Linked DNA regions of Coturnix japonica. Each later gene encodes a partner of the first gene's protein in a complex. Links are inferred from orthologs where the notes say so. Each region holds a gene or a part of one and is shown in the gene's direction. Other genes may lie near its edges. The genes, in order: OPRM1 and POMC.

Region 1 (10,223 bases):
CTGATTGCAGTGACCGTGAGATGCTGGAGTTCAAGATCCAGAGAGGAGGATGCAAAGGAAATAGTAGAATCACAATTCTGGGATTCAGTACAGAGCTGCATGTTCCTCCAATCAACACTGCAGTCAGGTCTGAACTGTTGGTGCAACAAGGCTCCCATAATCACAAAATATGGGGATTAAACTGTGCTTGGACAGCTGTTTTCAGCCAAGGAACATCTGATATTTTTTAATAGGAAAGAATTATTAGGAATAAAATGATATAAATTTATTTAAGCTACCTTACCATTACTACCTTACTATTACTAGTATTAAATAAAGATTATTCCCATTGGAAAAGGGAATTATAGCAATTTGATCAGTAGTTACACTGAACACAAGATCTCCCCATGGTAGATTAAATGTACTCTTTCTTAGAACTTCTTAAAGTGCTGCAAATAAACGAGAAACAGAGGATTTCAAAGAGTACAGAACAGGAACTTGAAGGATGGAATAGGTCATGCAGTCCTGAAAATGATCCACAAAGGCTGCTCAGGCAAAAAGTTTCAGAAATGTAAGCAGGTAGAGGCAATTAAATGTTAAGATTTATAGGACTGGTATTTCAGGCAAGAAAATACCAGAAATAGGTTTTACGGATGGAATTATAAGCTCACTTCACACAGGACCAAGTTCAGACCATTTTCTTATCTGAAAATGAGCAGAGTTTGCAAGATTTTGAATTCTGTAGCTTTTAACTGTTTTAAAAATTAACAAACATGTGAAAGCATACAAATATATATATGTGCATGTCTATATATAGTCAATGCTCTCCCTTTGCTTTATTTCTAAAATTAATTTCTGAAAATAAAGTGATTTAAAAAAAAATTTATATATATATATATATATATATATATATATATAGGTATCATTATGCCCATTCCACAGCAATTTCACTAGTGTTCTTCCACATCAATAATCAAATTCACCTCCTTATTCTACAGTAAGGGATTATTTAATTTCATTAAATAAATAATGCATAGATATTGCTAAGTATTACAACAACCTCAACTTTCAGTGCTACCAAAATGGCACTGAACTGTGATTCAGGAGTTGTATATGTTACAGAACAATTTATTATGGTTCTTAAGAGTCTTCTGGTTAATTCATAAATCTTAGTGGAACCTATGAGTCCCACAACAAGTACTTTACTATCCTATTCTGAGGATTTCCTAAAATTGTATTACTCTTTAAAAACTATCTGAATCTCCTTCTTTACCAAAAATCTACTGTTTCAACACATACTTAATGCTGTCCTTCTTACATGTCAGAGCAATATTTAGTATTTAGATTATAAAAAACAACTCTTATGTTATATGATAAAAGCTCATCTGCACATTCACAAGAAGCACAGAGTAACAACAGAAGCTGAGTGATCCTAAATAATACCCTGCTCTGGCTACTCCCATGGCCATAAGAGGAGGCCAGCCCACCAAAGGCTCATCTCCCCAGTGCATAAAGGAAAAGTCCTGCTATGTCAGACTACTGATATACCTCACATCTTACATCTCTGACATTCGCTTGTACTAAACACTTAAAACAAGTTGTTTTTTTTCTTTCACTCCATTAGCGCCAGCTCATCTTGCCTTTAATAACACACATGACAGTCCTACCCCAGTCTCTTATGTCCTGGATATTTCCTTCTTTACCACCTCCCCGCTTTAGCCCTCATCACCTCCTTACATTTGTCCTCATCTCTTCTGCTGGATAGCTCTTGTGGGCCTGCTGCCAAGATCCATTTAACTATTTTTTTATTTTTTATTTTTCTTGTCTATAAAGATAAGAAGCAGCATTTTCAAGAGAATATAGGCCATTGTTAAAACATTTTTACAGATCCTTAAGATATATTAAAAAGTGTTGAAATGTGCGATTCTAAATCGTGTATTTACAGTGTATATGCAGTATCGATATAAACATCATACATAAAATCCTTATGAACTGAGCAGTGGAGGCTTGAATTTCTTCAGGGCAGAAAAAAGGTTTTGTACAAAACATTGCAACTGAAACTAAGGAGATGGAGACATGCTGATCTCAATTAGTATGACTTTGGGTAAATAGCTTAAAAGAACCAGAAAGACACAGACAAGTTATCTGAGCTATGTTAGATAAAATCATGTCTAATGTAGTAGCCCCTTCAGGCCATTGAAATACTAAGATTAATTAACAGGCTTACCCATAAATTTTAAATTGCATTTTCCATGCTACACATTCCTTGCATTACATGATGAGTAGAGTTGACTAGTCTGACACAGCAAGGAGATGTAAGAGCTCGGCTCCCTTTTGTCCATCACATTATGCCATTATTTGCACATGGTAGAATTCCAACACATACTTTTCAGTTCAAAGTGATTTAAATAAGGAACTAAGAGATAAGGACCACGTTTAGTCTGTTCTACACATAAGCAGGCTCTGCTCAAACACCAGCCAAACCTGAAGGCAGGTCACACAGCCTGTTAGTATGGTACAATGATTTAAAACAGTCTTCACAGAACTGCTACCAAAACACTATGACTACATCACCTAGAGAATGTCCTTACCAGGCGACAGGAGGATCTATCTTTAATGCAGTTCACAGCCAGATGAAGACTATCATTCTGAGAGATCAACTGACTACTACTTCTTCTTATCTGGCTGAGATGTATGGATGAGCACAGGCTCTTGACTAACATTCTGCAAGGAGAGAGAATACTTCCACTAGCAAGGCTGAAGAAGAGCACAGCCTACTTCCAGACCTCTTCTTGCCCTGATCCTGTAAGAAACAAGTCCCACTGCTATGCTACCAGTATACAGGCTATCTTTATAAAGGGCAGAGCCATTCTCTCCATTCTGTTTGCTAACTGGATTGTAAGCAAGGAACATTGTTTCCATTTAGTTTAGGACCCACAGAGTTACTGCAGAAGTGACCTCGCTCCATGAAAACTCTGGTTTTGCTGTGGATGTATCTATAATTGCATCAGAGTGATCTCTCTGATTGCTACTCCTAGGACTGTTTTTGATATACTGTTTTCACTCTAAAATTCAATTCTTGAGATTTTCTCAAAGCTTGAGCCCATCAATTTTTAGTTACAGCCTTGGGAATTTATTTATCCTAGTGCTATGGCAGAAAAGAGACATACAAAAATCTGTTCTGTGTTGGAAGCTGTGATTCTGACCCCAACCTGATGTTGAGGCAACTATTGAAGACGTACATGTCTTAAAGCTCTGCATTTTCCCTTTCTACCTGCACCATACTGCTACCCACAGGATTACTGATCTGGAACTATACAAATGTATTTTCAGCAGAATCTTAACTATGCAGCCCTCCATGATCTGAAGTTATTTGTAGAAAAGTATTATACATTATTATACTTAAAATGTCCTTCACCATCTGAAAGCATCATTGCAAAGATTTATTGCGTGCTGCCTTTGTCCTTGAGCAATAACATCTGTAATAGCATTGCAAAGAGGTGCATTTACTATCATCCCCTTACCTTTGAAACATCGCTTAATGAGGCCTATCTTAAATAGGCACAATTCCCAAGGCTTATTGCCAATTCTCTCTGAGGTCTGCGTTTTCATCTGTACCTGCCAGAAGGTTGATTTAATAGGAATAACAATTCTTCTGTCTTTAACAATAAAGCCTTGTATATAACACCAGATTTACCTGGGCATCCATTTTTAAAACTTTTGGAAGACACTCATTTTTAATCCATCAAAGGTCCTTCTGATAGCTAGAATGATACAAAGCTGACTTTAACACAGAATACAACAACAACAAAAAAGCTGTAGCAGCCTTGATTTTTGTTTCCCATCTGCCCTACTCCTTTCACAGCTATACAGAGGTGTATCCAAAAGGCCAAACACTGACTGCCTAGGCTTGCATTAAACTATTTTGATGGAGTTGGTGGAACAAAGGGGAAGCAGTGAGAGAGGCTCCTACGCTATGCACATAGTGCACTATGCACAGAGATAAAAGTCTTTGGGAACAGCTCAGTTTTAAAGCCCTGCTCCTCCTGTTCTGTGTACAACTAAATATGCTGCACTTCAAGAAGCAGTGAATTTCACCATGAGAAGTCTCTGAGTATTTACTTTCATTACTGCATGTCCACAAATGTTTTCAATTCTGAACCTTTCTTCTTATTCTGAATATGATGCTAAATGGCTCTCTCATCAATAAATGCTGAAAATACTCTCTCTGGCCACTGGGTAATAAGTGCTATCTACACAAAGAACCTGTTAACAGCCTGCTCGATTTTCTTCCTCCACTCTGTTGTATCTTAGTGAGATTTGAAACTATATCACTTTAAAAAAAAATGGGTATCTATTACTCATATCTGTATCCCTCTCAAAGTCCAGTAACACTCCATTTTAGTTTTCACTGTTTTTCCTCCTCACTGCTAAAGGTCAGAGATACTTTAGAAGAGTGTGTGGTCTTCTACTGCTACCCACCCTAACCAGCAGTAGCTGCCATTACTTCTGACACAAAAGCTCAGGAAATCATTGATCTAAATTGCCTATATTTTTGCATCTTTCTGGCAGGCTGCAACTCATCTCTTCTTCTTCTGCCATTATCACTCCTGAAACAGCAGGACATGCTTTGCCTGTGGTAAGCACAGACACTGAGGACAAGTCTGTGATGAGGCAGCAGGGGCAATCACTGCCACTCCATCTGCTTCCTGATCACCAGTATTTCTTCTGCTTTACCAAGGAACCCTTCTGATTTCATTGATGAAGCAGTAAAAGAAACAGGTCCTGGTAATTAGCAATCAGCCACCCTGCTGGCACTGCTGGCAATGTCTGTCTGTACACAGAAATGTGCAAATAAGCAGTGGCCAAGTCAAACACCTGTTTCAGTGTATGGACATTGCCTTCCAGTAAAGAGAACGGTCTCCATATCTTTTCTTTTGAATGTTATCACATCTGACAACAATGAAACCAATTTCTAGGGGAGATGGCTCTTACAGGTCTAGAGTGGAAATATCTCCAAAAACTATGTGAATATAGGAGTTCCTAATAATTTCCAAAGCACATTTCTGTCCAGTGTGGTACCACACAGCTCCCCACGTTTTACTTCCAGTGTCAGCTACTCTTTCTCCAAGCCACAGAATCAGGGAGGGCACAGTCTGGTCGATATTCTTGATTCACTGCATTAATCAGCTGCACGCTGACCCCTGCTCAGCTCGGGCAGCATCGCCAGACATTTCTTCCAGCTGCTTACCCAGGGGAAGGGAACGCTTTAAGGGCTCCCCATCCTCATATGCACAGCAGGGCAGACTCTATTACAGCAGCACACTCTTAACCCCAAAAAGCGCTTCGCTTGACGCCTCACGAAGACCTCACAGGGGAGTGAAGCGCCACCTCCCCCCCGTTCCGCATCTTCCCCGTCGTCGCAGCTCCTCCTCCCGGCCCGCCCGTCACACACATGTGCCCGCAGCCAGCGGTGGGGCGCGCCGTCGGGGCGGGCGGGAGCCGCCGCCTCCCTAGCACCGCCCGCGCCGCGCATCTCTCGCATTCGGGCACGGGGAACCGGTGGCCGCTCTGACGCCGCCTCGTACCATGGCCGTCGCTTACCTTTTGGGAAACGGCTCTGCGCCGCTCTTCGCCGGCGCCCTGGAGGTCCCCTTCGGAGCCAACGCCTCCGCTGCCGCCTGCCGCCCCGCCGTGCCTCCTTGCGCGGCCGCGCCTCCGGGCACATGGGGTAACGGTACGGCGGGCTGGAACCGCTCCGAGCCTTGCAGCGGTGCCAACGGCAGCGCGGGCGGCGGGCCATGCGCTCCCGCGGGCGGCGGCGGCCCCTCTGTGGTCACGGCTATCGCCATCATGGCCCTGTACTCTGTAGTGTGCGTCGTGGGGCTTTTCGGCAACTTCTTGGTCATGTACGTCATCATCAGGTGAGTGCCGCCGTCGGGCTGCGGAACGGCGTTCCGGCGGCGGCGGGGTTAGGCTGCGGAGGCTCCGCGGAGCGGTGCGATGCGAGGGATTCCTGCCTCCTGGGTGCGGGGTGGATGAGTAGAAGAGGCTTTGAGAAAGCGTCGGAGCGAGAGATCGTGGAGGGAAAACGCGGCGGGGCCGAGCGCCCCGTCGGAGATACTCTACGTGCCCCTAGGGCTGCAGCACCCGTCAGCGCTCCGACCGTGGGGCCCGACACTCGCAGCTGTCCGCTGCTGAGGGAGGGTAGAAGGGGACCGCAGCCACCGCGTGTGCGGGTATACGCACAGCACTCAGCGCGCATCTGTCCCCAAACCTGTGCCAACACAAAAGCAAAATATAAACGGCATCTCAGCTCAATGTTTCTCTCTCTACCTGGATTTATAGATCTTTACCTCGAGTGTTGATGTGCGTGTTTTATGCTCGTATACATCTGGGTCTGTGTACTTGTATATACATCCACCCGTACGCATGGGGATCCTGGCAGCTCCCCAGGCTCCCAGCTGCGCTGCAGCAGTGAGCGGCATTGTCACCCGCAGGTCCCTCACAAATGTGTCTTTCACGCACGAGGAATCTCATAACCGTAAACCGGCGGCAAGCGGGTGGCAGAGAGATGAAACGGGCTCCGGTGGAGTCCGGGTCGGGTGTTCGGATTCCGTGGAGGAACAGTGCCACCTCCCGGGGGCGGCGGGGCCGAACGGGACGAAGCTGCCCTCGAATGCCCCGGGTCGGGGCTGGCGCGGCACCGCCTTCCCCCGGGCAGCTGGCCTTTCCGAACCGCGCTTCTGCAGGGAGTGCCCCGGGGGAGTGCTCCCTCCTTGCCGCAGGTCTTGCAGTTACCCCGGGCAGCCTCTGTCCCTCTGTGCAGACACTGCGTGGGGCTCAGTGGTAGCTGTAACAAGCCAGGGTGATGCTCCAGTGATTCTTTTGGTGTACAACATAACAGCAGCTGCTGGAGATGTGTCTGCAAAGCCCGTACAACTCATAAACCTATTGGGAACATGACTTACACACACCAACGGTTCAGACTATTACAGTTAAGAATCCTACTGCTTTTAGCCATACTTTAGAGGCAGAACAGGGAAGATTCTTTGTGCCATGAGAATTTGGTCAAGGTGAAATCCAAGCTGTCTATGTGAGAAGTGCTCCTGAACAGGAACATGACTGCAATGGTCTGAGCAAGTAGTGAACGCCTTCCTTTGGGAGAAGAAGCAGATGCACAGTGTAACAGAGCCAGGGTGGTTGTCAGCAGTGTGTATGTTAGAAGTCTTCCATGGAATTGTATATTTATACCAGCCATAACCTGTTCTGGGTTCATATTTCTTATATTAATTAATTCAATTACGCTTACACCACAAAGCCAAATTAAATGAGGCACCTGCATTCAGCTTTCTATCTTGAGACCATCTTTCCCAGAGATTAAACCTTAACACAAAAGCCAGAAGCAATAAAAGGCAAAAAAAAATATGTTTTAATTTTACAGAGGAAGACATAAATCAGTTAAATTACCTCCTTAAAACCACTCTGGAATTCTGCAACAGAGATAGGACTGAACCCAGGTCTCCTATGCTTTCACAGCAAGAAGCTTTCCATATGACAAATTTCCTTCTCAATATCCTATTCATATTTCCTGATTTAGGATGAAAAAAAGCTTGTTTATTATGGTTGAATAGAATCTGCAGTTTAAGCATCACAACAATGCCTTTCCTTTCTGTGCTTCTATATAGGTTTGGTATACTTGGGCACCTGTAAGGAACTCTGAGTTTTTTCCTGTTGCAGGCTATACTGACATGAGAGTATTCCCATATTATATTACATGCGTATATGGAACAGTGAGCTTATGTGCTCATATTCATGAAACCTTAGGTCCCACTAAAGATAGGAGGCAAACCTTTCCTTGGTTCTAATTTGACGTACTATAAATCTCCCTATCTTTATCTACTTTTCATACAGTGACTGCTCAAGAAAAAGGAAGTTCTGATGTTTGTGTTAATTTTGAGATGAATTAATACTACAAGAAAGAAAAATTGAAAGTGATATTGGCAGCTTGTTTACTTTGAAAATGCCAGAAGCTTGGGGGGAGATGCTCAGATGTTTGAAACTGTCCCTACTCACCTCTTAGAGTCCAGTGAAAGTTTGGAGTGCTGCATGCTAATACATTGTGCTCAGCTTCTTTGGAAACATTTTGTGGAATAGCTATTAAGTTATTTTTATAAGCAGATGACCTTAAAGCCCCATCCAGTTGTCCCGTCTCCTCCATGTGAAGCAGATCTGTGGGCCTGGAGCCAGAGCAGTGCAGTTGCTTGCCAGATGTGGAACTGTCATTATCAATATATAATGTCATGGGCTTTGTATACCTGTACATTATCATGCAATCTCAACCACCCTCCTCATTCTCCCAAATGGTTTCTATTCAGCTGAATTATTTCTTCCTTGAATTAATATTTACAACGCATTATATCTACAGTATGTGAAGCTGAACCCCATGTTACCGACACTGAGCTGTTTCCTTTGTGAGGTATGAAAAATGCCTTCTGAGTGACAGCAATAATAGTCAGGTTTTACTGCCAGCCATGAATTTTGTTATCTCTTTTCCTCATGTGTTTTGTTTAAGCATGAACTACTAATACAAACACAGTGTCATTACAGCTATATTAACAGCAAATGCTACAGCTAGTTGTTGTGGAGTACAACTCTGTGTACAGTTACTATCATCATGTGGCACTGAATTAATTTCACATCAATCTATAGGCTTTTCTTGCTTTCTAGACAAGTCAGTAGGATATGATGAGAGGGGGATGAAGAATATGGCCTGTGATTAAGGAGGTGTTCACAGTGCTAAAAAACTGTGATAGATCATAGCTGAACATCTTTGGCATCACCAGAGTAGAGAAGTTGAGGCCCCAGCCGTGCACTGGGTGAAATGCCATGAGACTGCAGCAATGCCATCAGTAGATGCTATTAGCACTCAAAGCAAGAGCAATGCCTTAATTGCTGTGCTAATCATTTTGTCACATATCATAAACAAAGGAGCCTGAGGTGCCCCCTGATCCTTCACAGGATGAGGGAAATGCCTTTTTGCATTAGAGTAAGTGATTACAGAGAAGTCTGCTTTGAGGCAAAAAGCTTTTTACAGTTCTCAACTGTGTTTTGAAAAATAAAATACAAAAATTATTACTAGATCATCATCTGATTTGGGAAGACTGTACACTTCTGAAACCTCTGCTTACTTCAGCCTGGCTCACTTGTGCTTTGAGAGTACTGTTTTAGTAAGAAAGGGACTTGGCATGTAATTTCAATTGTAGGAAGAATGGATGTCTTCAGAGGAATACTCTGACACGTGGAAAGAAAAGCAAGGAGTTCATAAACAGGATATGGAGTGGAGAGAGTCTGATTTGAGAAGTAAGCTGAAGATGACCCACTGAAAATGATCAGAGGTTAAAACAGACTGAAGCAAAGAGTTTTTTTCCAAAAACAAACAAGCAAACAAACAAACAAAAAACAACAGGAGCTCTTCTTTGCAAAGGGGCTCTGAGTTATGGATCCAGTGTGAAAGAAGATCCATGGAATGCCTTGTGGCAGTATAGTTCAGGGAATTTAGAAACATAGAAATCCATAAAATACATTCTTTTCTTTCCTGCCCACAGCAACCTCAATCTCTTTTCATTTGGATGACACTGCATCTGCCATCTCCAGGGAGACCTGATAGCAGCCTTTCAGTATCTAATAGGGGGATATAAGAAAAGGGACTCTTTAGCAGGGTCTGTTGTGACAGGACAAGGGGAAATGGTTTCAAACTAAAAGAAGTTTGGTTTAGATTGGGTGTAAGGAAAAAGTTTTTTTGCAATAAAGATAGTGAGACACTGGAACAGGTTGCCCAGAGAAGTGGTGGAGACAATCAAGGTTTAAGGGAATCTAAGTAGGCAAGACCAGCCCAGAAGCCGAGTTCAAAGAGTGGTGCAGTGAGAAGATGACCCTCAGCACACCACATTACACAAAGGCATGTGTCTCATTTGCACACTGCTTGCAATAAAAATTTACCAACATCTAAGGTAAGGTGCTCTCCTCTCCTCCAGAATCAAGAGGAGCAGATTAGATAAAATGCCATGTATACTTCTCTATTTTCATTTGGTTTTTTTTAAGTTATATTGATACAACCATGGTTGATGACCTCAGAACAGCCATGGTCTCTCTGAGAAAGAGGCCAGGTCAGGCTGCCCAGCCAACTCCCACCTGCAGGACTTGGGCTACCCCTGCAGCACCTCCACCCCTGGGCAGAGATA
Region 2 (10,112 bases), about 51 Mb from region 1:
GCTGCCCTCCAGCATATTGAGGTCCACCACCTTCCCAGCTCCCTCAGGACATGAATCTGGGGCTCTAACCATGACTCAGAACATGCAATATGATACCTGGACAGGGTTAGACCTCCAACCCATCCCTAGGGGTGGCTAGATGGCCTTCCTGAGGTCTGTGTTTTCCCATGGCTATGGGTTTATTAATGCAGGTGACTTCAGATCCAAGGGTGGATGGTGGGACGGTGACCTTGCCACCATCAGTATGAGACAAATATGTAACTTCGTCTCATTATCCAGAGAAATCAGCCAGTGCTGCCCAACACTGGGGTTCCCCCCCCCATGCTACCACACCACAGCCCTGCTCCACAGCTTTCTCTCAACAAAAAACTATCCCCATCCCATCCATCTGGGGATGGAGATGTGGGAGGTTGGCTCCCCTTGGCGCCCCATGCCCATGGTGCCAGCACATACCTTCACGAGGGCAGCTTTGGTGCTCCGGCAGCAGGCAGCAAGCAGGGACTGTCTGCAGGAAAAATGGGGTGAGCATCAGGGGCTGCTGGGCACTGATTCCCCCTGATCCTCTCACCGCACTATAAATAGGGCCAAGAGAGCCACCAGACTCAGACAGTGCACGGGAGGGAGGAGCACGGGTCCTGGCGTGACCTTATCAGCACACGGGGGATTAAGCCAACATCTTGGCAGGAAGGCATGGCTTCCTGCTCCTAGAAACCCCATCCCATCCTCATGATGAGTTTTGGGCAGACAGCTGGCTCCTCCTTTCTTCCAGCATCTACCTGATGTGCTTAATGGGAAAATGCTACCTTGGCAGGTGCCAAGGGCATCCTACTGGTTCTCAAGTGGAGATGGAGATTTTCCACTGCTGCCATTTGGGCTGCATCCCTTCATTGCAATAGCAAATCCCACTATGAAAGCTGCCATTCCGCTGCTCAGATGTGGACATTCTCCCTCCAGAGTCATCCCAGAAGAAAACCAGGGTGCTGTGCTAGGATGGGATGTGATGGTAGGATTCCTATTGACATGGTTTAGCAGACGAGGGATGGGATGTGATGGTAGGATTCCTATTGACATGGTTTAGTAGACGAGGGATATGGCTAGCAGGCATGGTGGGGATGGGTTGATGGTTGGACTTGATGACCTTAGTGGTTGTTTCCAACCATAACAATTCGATAATTCTATGGTAACAATGGGACAAATCACACCCCACAGCCAGCTCCTTATGGGGCAGTCTTGGGTTGGGAGACCAAGGGAAACATTTCGCTCTCAAACCTCAGCTGAGAGCTCCTCCAGTGCGATTAGCTAAAGACCAGCTTCTCTTTATTGCACATGAGTGGATGGGCATTTAACGTGCTTGCTGATAATGCAATCCATTATCTTCATCCCTCTGGTCCTGCTGCGGGGCCGGAGGTGGCGGGGGAGGCGAGCCGGAGGAGGGACAGAGCCGGGCACAGCCGGGCCTTTGTGTGGCCACTCAGGAGCCACTTTCCCCGTGAATGTTTGGGCTTCTAAATGGATCTCACCTCCCCTCCCCCAGCCCCTTTGCTTTTCATTTCTTTTCCCCATTATACTCGGAAAAAAACTCGTCCGGATCATTAGCGTCAGAGGCGGAGACGGGCGCTGAGTGCCACATGGAAGAGGCGAACAAACATTTCGTTCAATGCCCCTTGAGTGCCGTTTAGCTCAAGGCTGCTCCTTCACAAAGGGAGATGTGAAAATGGGCCCCGCACGCTGCTGTGGGGCGGCCGGCCACCGGGTAGAGCTGCGCTGGAGCTGCCTCTTCAGGGAGACAAAGCACAGCCATTTCGACTGCCTTCGATTGATGTCTGAGCTCTTCGGGGAGCATTTAGTGAGGAGGGAAGGAAGGGGGGGAGGAATTCAATGGGAGCCCAGGCAATGTGCATAGTCATAACCACGAAGCTCTGAAATGCCCAAGGTTGAGTGCTTGGCTCACTGTCCCCAGCATCCTTTCCACGTTCGTGGATGTACGTCAGCTGCAGCCTCTCTGATAGCAAAGGGTCAACTGAAGCCAACATCAGGCACCGCTTGGCCAACTCTTTCATAGAATCATAGAATCATTCAGGACTCCAAGACCATCAAGTCCAACCCCAACCCATCACCACCATGCCCACTGACTGTGTCCCTCAGTGCCACATCTCCATGTTTCTTGAACCACATCTACACACTCCCAAAGCCAGCAATGCAGATTGCACATTAAGAAGAAGCTGTTAAGGGTCATCATGAAGCCTGTGCCACCACCATGCCTTCTTCTCAATCCTCCCTAACACAAGCTGTTTTTGTGGGCAGCTCCTGATCCCCAAACCCATCCTTGTCCAGCCTCAAACCCATTGCTAGGACTGAGGACATGGACAGTATCTCTGTCCTTGCAGATCTGCCACCAAACTCACACTCAGTCTGCTGCAGTGCTGAACAAGAGGCCAGGATGTGTTGCCAACAGATTTGCCATCAGTCTTGCCCATTAGCTTTACCATTGGTTTTGCCATCAGCTTTGCCACCCACTTTGCTTCCAGACCCCCAGTGCAGAGTCACACAGCTGGCATCACCCCAGCCACCAATATTGGCTTTGGGCACCCTCTCCATGCTCCATCTGGGTACCAGCTGGGAGCAGACAGGAATGGAATACATATCCAGCTGGATACAACTGGAACACAGGAATGCGGTGTGGGAGCTGAGCTATAGGAAGGAAGCCCCTGCAGGGCTTCTAACCTCTACCCACACCCAGATCCCCCCTAATAAGCTGTAATCCCTCTTAGGGGCACAGGCGGTAATCAGGGATTTGGCTCCAGGCGTGCAAACGTGTGTGAGCACAGGGCAAAGCGTGCAGGCGTGTGCATCATCGCAGCTCTGTTGTGCCTGTGTATGTCTGCAGGATGCTACCAGTGCAAAAAGGAGAAGAAAGGCAGCAGGAAGGAGAGAAGAAAATGTGTAACTGGACAAAATACATAACAGGGTGATTTGGGGGTTCCTGGCTCCACCTCACCCACTTTTGCCCCCAGGATAAATCTGACCTGGGCTAACCCAGCACATAGAGCAGGACAGCTTCAAATCCAGGAGCTGATGTGAGCAGAGTTCAGTCTAAAAGCAAAGAGTGCAGTAGTTAATGATTGCCTTCTGTCATTAACAGCTACTGGATTGGAGTGAGTGACTCCTTGGGAAGGGCATCCCATGCAGCAGGCTGCCATGCTTCCTACCCTTTTGCATGGATACTCATCACTGCTGAAGGACCAGCAGGTCCACTGGGAGCTGTTTAGTGATGCACAGCATCCTCTCATACACTTCAGAGCCCCACATGCTTTTTTTTGCTTCTTCCTAGCCAAATGCCTTCATTCTAACTTCAATCCGATGACCTCAGGAGCAAGAGGTTGGTGATGGGACCCCAGCCCCTTCCGGAGCTGCTCTTGTTCTGGTAGTGAACACATGGCCAAGCACAACCATTTTAAGAGCAAATTACACAGCTCGCATTTCAATGTGTGTGCTCAGGATTGATCACTCCTATGTCTTCTCCCAGAAATGTCCTACCTTCATGGGGAAACCAGTAAAAGAGCTACCAGGTCAACAGTGCAAAGCACTGCAAGAAATCTCTAACCTGAGATTATTAGGGATGGGGACGATCCAGCAGCACACAGCATATGGCTGCAAGGCACAGATGTGACGCTGGAGGGATGTTGTTCCGGGCAGTACTACATGGCTGTCAGAAGACCCATACAAGCCCCAGCACTGCTGTTCATAGCCCAGGAGGATTTGAGCACAGCTGTGAAATTCACACCCCAGCCCAGGACTCATTTGCACGTAAGTGTGACCTGTTCAATAAATTAGAATGGAAAGGCCAGAAATCACGTGGCTGACGAGCTGCTCACCTGCAGGTGCACCTCCATGGGGACAGCAGCATGGCAAAGCCATCCATCCATCAGCCCTTGCCCATGGCATCCCAAAATTCAGCCCCCAGCCTTGCAGTGTCAGCCATTGGCACAGGCTGCCTAGTGAAGTAATGGAGTCACTGTCCCCAGAGGTGTTCAAGAGCCATGGAGATGTAGCACTGAGGTTTAGTGGGCATGGTGGGGATAGATTAGAGTTGGACTTGGATTGGGTTGATGGTGGCCTAAGAGGTTTTTTCCAGCCTTAATGATTGTGTGATTCTGTGAGTAGGTATGATGGTGATAGGTCAGCAGTTGGACTTGATGACCTCAAAGGTCTTCTCCAATACTAATGACTCTGTAAGTGGGCACGATGGTGATGGCTTTGCAGCTGAACCAGCCCCAGCTCCAGGAATGCTCAGGCAGCACCTGTGTAGGCCTTGAGGGATCACACCTTGGCCATAAATCCCAGCAGGAAGTACAAGGGAATGTAACTGGGCTCTGCTCAACAGTGCTCGGGGCAGCCCAGGGGCACAGGGCACAGCCTGGAGCCCAAGAGCTGCCCATTAGTAGCATTGCAGTGCTGGGTGGGTGCTCAAGCCCTGGCACAGGGAGTGGAGAGGTGTGGGGGTCCTCCTTGGGGGTGCCCCACAGCCCCTGGCCGTGGTGCTGGGAACCCAACCATCCTGAGGCTCTGGGCTATGGGGAGCTCAGAGGATGGACTCAGACCAAGCTTTGGGGGCTGTATCAAGGCTGGTGAGCGTGGAGGCATTCTTCATCCCAACGCCTCACCTCAACAAAGTTTCCCTATTTCCTAAATAGATTTCTTCCTTATAAAAATAACTGGCTCAGAGAGGCCTAATGAAGATGAAAGAGCTTTTAAAGTGGGAATCATAGCTCCTTTTTGGCCATAAAGCATTCAGAATAGCTCTCCGTCATGAAAATATATTGCATAGCAGGGGATCTGCCGTGGAGGGTGGAGGCAGATAATACAGTTAAGGAATATGAATTGCTTGTGCCACAGAGGTCTCCTGGATCTGGGGGGGAACTGGAGGTCTGGGAAAGGCATGAAGCAAAGTGAAATGGAACCTGTGACGGAGCTTTGTGCACCATCCCAAAGCAGTGATGTCAACCTCATGCACCCCACATCCCACCGCAAGGAGGAGAGAATCCAAATCCCATTGCAAGAGGGGAGCACCCACATCCCATTGCAGGAAGGGAGCATTCTGCTCACCTGCACATTGCTTGGTCTCGGTGTCTGGAGGAGCCTATTGGCAGCTTCTATAGCAATATATTTTACAGCTCAGGTGAGCCCTAAAGAAAATGAGTCTTGCTAAGCCTTGGATTCCTTGCTATAGGAGAGGGATCTGCAGACAAAAGCAGTCCAGTGGAACAGAGAGAACAGAGGTTTGTGCACAAGGAGGGGGCTGTGTGTGCTGCCATCCCAAGTGGTTTCTTTAAAAACAACCCTTTATTCCACCAAAATCCAACCCCAAACCCCCAGCACCCATCGGAGCACGGAGCCCTCCCACACCCGATCATAAGGAACAGATGCCCCTGCACCAAACACCCAGCAAAGCACTTTCCGTCCGACCCCTCTGATCCCGAAAGCAATTAACAGCTTCGCATGGAAAACTTGGCCGGCTGCGGCTGGCGGGGAGATGCTAATCCCATCCACAGCCACATCAGCGCCGTGCTCACTGCTGCTCTGCTTTTGTTCGCTACCTGGAAGGGTCCCTCCGTCCCCACCTTCCCCTCCCTTTCCCACCCCCAACCAAGGGCCATCCAGAGGGCGGCTGCGGCGCGACGCTGGGGGTATATAAGGCAGCAGGGATGCAGGGACGTCGCAGACTTGCTCTCGGGGAGACGGGGACCGGTGGTGGCTGCGCTCCAGCCCAAGCCGCAGGTGAGACCTCAGGGATGCAGCATGGCCCAGAAGGGCTTCTCTAGGGATATGGGAGGGGGAAAACTTTGCAAAATCTTGGTTGCAGTGGGTTGTTTGCATGGTTAGAAGGATGGCAGCAAGGGGATAAAGCACCCTCTTCCCTGAAATGCTTCGTGCATCCCTGCCCCCCAGCCTCTGCCCCCCCTTCATTCTCTGCTTTTTTGGGTTACTGCATGCTGATGTGTTACAGAAGTGGCCCCACAGTTGCAGATCCAACACAGCTGTGTCAGAGCTGGGAGGTTCCAGGCAGCTGCTCCCACGATTTTGGGGCAAAAGACCCAAAAAGCACCTCCACGCCCAAACTCTGCCCACTCTCTATTAAGAGCAGGATGAGATTTTCATTAATTTGCCTATAGTTTTCTATTCTTTGGGATGGGGTTTTCCTCCCCTGGCACTCCCAGGTTGAACCACGTGAGTCCCCACAAAGTTAAAAACAACTTGGGAAAGAGTTGGGTTTGGCAAAAGCAAAGTTAAGTGGATACATCAGCCTGGCACTGCCACCATCACCACAACCCTCACCTCGTCTGGACTCACCCAAAGCAGTCCCTGCAGCACAGCCTGCATCCCTGGCACTTCCAGCGTCTCCCAGAGCGCTTCCCAAGCGATGATCTGATGTTATTTCATGTACCATTTCAGCTTGAGGGGGGTTTGCAGGGGCTGCAGCCTGCAGGCAGCTCCATCATGCTCTCCCCCTGCAGCATCACTCGCTTGCCTGTGGCTCTCAGGAGGGGCAGAAATCCTCATGGCAGCGGCTGTCACCTGCAAAGGCGGGTGTTAATGCAGGTGACAAAGGACCTGGGATTTCGGAGGCAAAGGATGGTGACAGCAAAGCCACAAAAGGCTGGAAGGAGGGGGATGAAATCCCAGCAGAAGCAGCAGCCCTGAATTTGGGCAAATAGTTGTTATTTTTTTTAACTATTTCTTTGTTTCCATAGCGCTCCTCTGCAGTTTGGGGACCCATCCTTGGCTGGTACCATGCGGGGTGTGCTGTGTTACAGCCTGCCTGTGGTGCTGGGGCTGCTGCTGTGCCACCCCACCATTGCCAGCGGCCCATGCTGGGAGAACAGCAAGTGCCAGGACCTGGCCACTGAGGCTGGAGTTTTGGTAAGTGGGAGCGTGGGGCTGCCCCGGGCTTGGTTTGCTTTCTAACCCAAACGGAGGAGGTGATGGGATGCCATCCCTGCTGGGTGACATAGTGTAAGGTTGGAGTGATGCTTTGGGCTCTGTGATCTGAGGGTTTTCGTGTGCTCACGCCTTTTGGCTTCATAGAGTCACAGAATCCTAAAGTGGTTTAGGTGGGAAGGGACCCCAAAGCCCCCCCAGCCTCAACCCCTGCCATAGGGACACCTCCCAGCACATAACTCCATCAAGGTATGGGGCACCCACAGCTTCTCTGTTCCACAGCTTCACAACCTTCATTGTAAAGAACATCTTCACGTTGGGTAAAATCAGTTTTTGGACGGATATCATCCCTCCTACGTGGGATGAATCAGGAAATCAGGGAGTGATGGTCATGGGATGGTGGTCATGGTTAATTCTCTGCAGGGGCTGAGTGTGCTCTGTGGATCCAACGCACTCAATGCTCCCCCCCAGCACCTTTTACATCCCCATAGAATGGGTTGGGTACTCCATGCTCCCCCTGGGGGACACATAGAGTGGCACTTGCATGGGGACGTCACCAAGGCACGCGGCCACAGGTTGGACGTTAGGAAAGATTTCTTGCCCTAAAGGTGATGCAGTGATGCACTGCCCAGGGGATGCTAGGGTCACCATCCCTAAAGGTGTTCCAGAACCATGACACAGCACTTGGGGACACCGTGACTGGGCATGGTGTGATGGGCTGGCAATCAGACTTGGTGATCTTAGAGGTCTTTTCTAAGCAGAATGATTTTACGGTTCCATTTCACCCCATGCAGGCGTGTGCCAAGGCGTGCCGAGCTGAGCTGTCGGCCGAGGCACCCGTGTACCCAGGCAATGGACACCTGCAGCCCCTCTCTGAGAGCATCCGTAAGTACGTGATGAGCCATTTCCGCTGGAATAAGTTTGGCCGTCGCAACAGCAGCAGCGGAGGGCACAAAAGGGAGGAGGTGGCCGGCCTTGCCCTGCCCGTCACATCACCCCACCACCCCGCTGGGGAGGAGGAAGATGGAGAAGGGTTGGAGCGAGAGGAAGGGAAGCGCTCCTACTCCATGGAGCATTTCCGCTGGGGTAAGCCGGTGGGACGGAAGAGGAGACCCATCAAGGTGTATCCCAATGGTGTGGATGAGGAGTCAGCTGAGAGCTACCCCATGGAGTTCCGGAGGGAGATGGCGGCCGACGGGGACCCCCTCGGCCTCTCAGAGGAGGAAGAAGAAGAGGAGGAGGAGGGTGAGGAGGAAAAGAAGGATGGTGGCTCGTACCGTATGCGGCACTTCCGCTGGCATGCGCCGCTGAAGGACAAGCGCTACGGCGGCTTCATGACCTTAGAGCACAGCCAGACCCCGCTGATGACTCTGTTCAAAAACGCCATCATCAAAAGCGCCTACAAGAAGGGTCAGTGAGGGGAGCCCAGCCCACGCGGCCCCACGCAGCTTTAGTGTCCTGCCGCCATGTGTGTCACTTAGATCCACAGATCGCTCGTTATGTTGTTAATTACTACTCCAAAACCCTCCTGCCCCCGACACCAAATGGCAACAGGTTGGGGCTGAACGTACCAATGTGAGCAGTGCTCACGCTGGGTCATTTTCCTATTTTCACCAAGCTGTACAATACTGTAAATGATGGATTAAAAGAATTCTAAAAGAGAAAAAAAAAATTAAATAAAAAGACATATATATATAATTTTTGCAAGCTATCTATGTGTCTGCAGTGTCTCTGTGGCTGTGTCTTGCCAAGGGGTAAAACAAACAGGGACATGTTTGGTGGGACAGATTGATAGTTGGACTTGATGATCTTACAGGTCTTTTCCAACCTTAATGATTGTCATAGAATCATATCATAGAATGGCTTGGGTTGGAAGGGACCTCGAGGATTGTGAAGCTCCAACCCTGACTCCGCCACCACAGGCAGGGCTGCCAACTTCCATATCTACTACTAGACCAGGCTGTGCAGGGCCCCATCCAACCTGGCCTTCAACACCTCCAGGGCTCTACCAGTGAAATCTGGAGTAACTCCAAGCCCAAATCCTGCAGCCGGGGACCAAAAGGCATCACTGGGGCTGTGCATGGGAGATGGGATATATTTCAGTAGAGGTTACTCCCAAGGGATTTGGGCTCCCCCATCCCTCAGCAGCTTCCCCAGTACTGATCTCTCTGATAAACTCATTAACTGCCTATCAAATGGCAACACAGAAGACCCTCAGGTACCAAAGAAAGTGACCTTACCTATAAAGTCATGTTGCTAAACCTGAGGGGTTTAGCATGGTAAAGAGGGGCAATGAAAGCGGGGAGCAGCTGTGGATCTGGGACCATCTTCAAGAGCAAATATCAACTGTGCCAGGAGTAACAAATCCCTACCACCTCCCCCAGCCTTACAGAGAAACCAGGTGCCACGAACGTGCCAACAGAGCTGATCCCATAATGTGGCAACACCAACATTTATTGGAGGGCACGTCTGCAAATATCGACGGCATCTCAGCCCCTTTCACAGCCCCACTCCCCTCCTGCCCTCAACTACACACAGAAACAACACGGTGCCCTGAAATACAGAGATGGAAACGCACACATGCACCTAACTGCTGAGTTTATAGAAATATACTTTGTCATCTATACAGACACCGGTATCTAAACTAAATGTGATGTACAAACAAATCACTTACACTGTGTGTGTGTATCTGCAGAGACATTTACAAGTGGAGTTTGGGTCCTGAAATGTAATGCTGAGCACAGCCAGCACTTGCTTTTGGAGGGGAATAGGGGATGTAACAAGGGAACAGCAGCACTGGGACCAGGGAGACCACACCGAAACCCCCAGCCAGGGGATAAGGTGCAGTCCTGCCCCAGGATCCCTGAGAAGCAATGGAACCCCAGGACGTGACCTGTGCCATCCCCATGGCAGCCAGGTTCCAAGGAGCAAGCCTTGTGCTCATCTTCCCACCTTCCTTGTGAGTTTGAAGTGGTTTGGAGGTGTCATCCCCTCCCCCCCATGCACACACAGTCTGGCGGTTAATTCCTTTTACTACTCCATTTTGCTAAACATTTACTGTTTTTCATTTGCACAGCTATGGGAGTGAATCCTCCTTTGTCAAGCAGCCTCCTTGCATTCCCAATGCCAACTTCACCCAGCCAAAACTCCAGGGGGACTAACGAAATAAAAAG

What was found.
Region 2: the proteins of OPRM1 (region 1) and POMC are in contact, whole or in part, in a cryo-EM structure (PDB 8F7Q), measured with the Homo sapiens proteins. The link is inferred for Coturnix japonica from reciprocal best matches to the Homo sapiens genes OPRM1 and POMC. Residues at the interface, in NP_000905.3 of Homo sapiens: Ser66, Met67, Ala70, Ile71, Met74, Gln126, Asn129, Tyr130, Leu131, Met132, Gly133, Trp135, Val145, Ile146, Asp149, Tyr150, Met153, Arg213, Ile217, Asp218, Cys219, Thr220, Glu231, Lys235, Val238, Ile298, Val302, Lys305, Trp320, Ile324; in NP_000930.1 of Homo sapiens: Tyr237, Gly238, Gly239, Phe240, Met241, Thr242, Ser243, Glu244, Lys245, Thr248, Pro249, Leu250, Val251, Leu253.

Annotation. Positions count from the first base shown.
Region 1 is NC_029518.1:45,126,441-45,136,663, forward strand, and holds the start of OPRM1 (mu-type opioid receptor), read left to right. Parts: upstream 1-5,448; 5' UTR 5,449-5,568; coding exon 5,569-5,903; intron 5,904-10,223. UniProt on the Homo sapiens protein: Receptor for endogenous opioids such as beta-endorphin and endomorphin. Receptor for natural and synthetic opioids including morphine, heroin, DAMGO, fentanyl, etorphine, buprenorphin and methadone.
Region 2 is NC_029518.1:96,189,373-96,199,484, forward strand, and holds POMC (pro-opiomelanocortin), read left to right. Parts: upstream 1-5,689; 5' UTR 5,690-5,778; intron 5,779-6,365; exon of another isoform or gene 6,366-6,752; 5' UTR 6,753-6,792; coding exon 6,793-6,921; intron 6,922-7,733; coding exon 7,734-8,357; 3' UTR 8,358-8,598; downstream 8,599-10,112.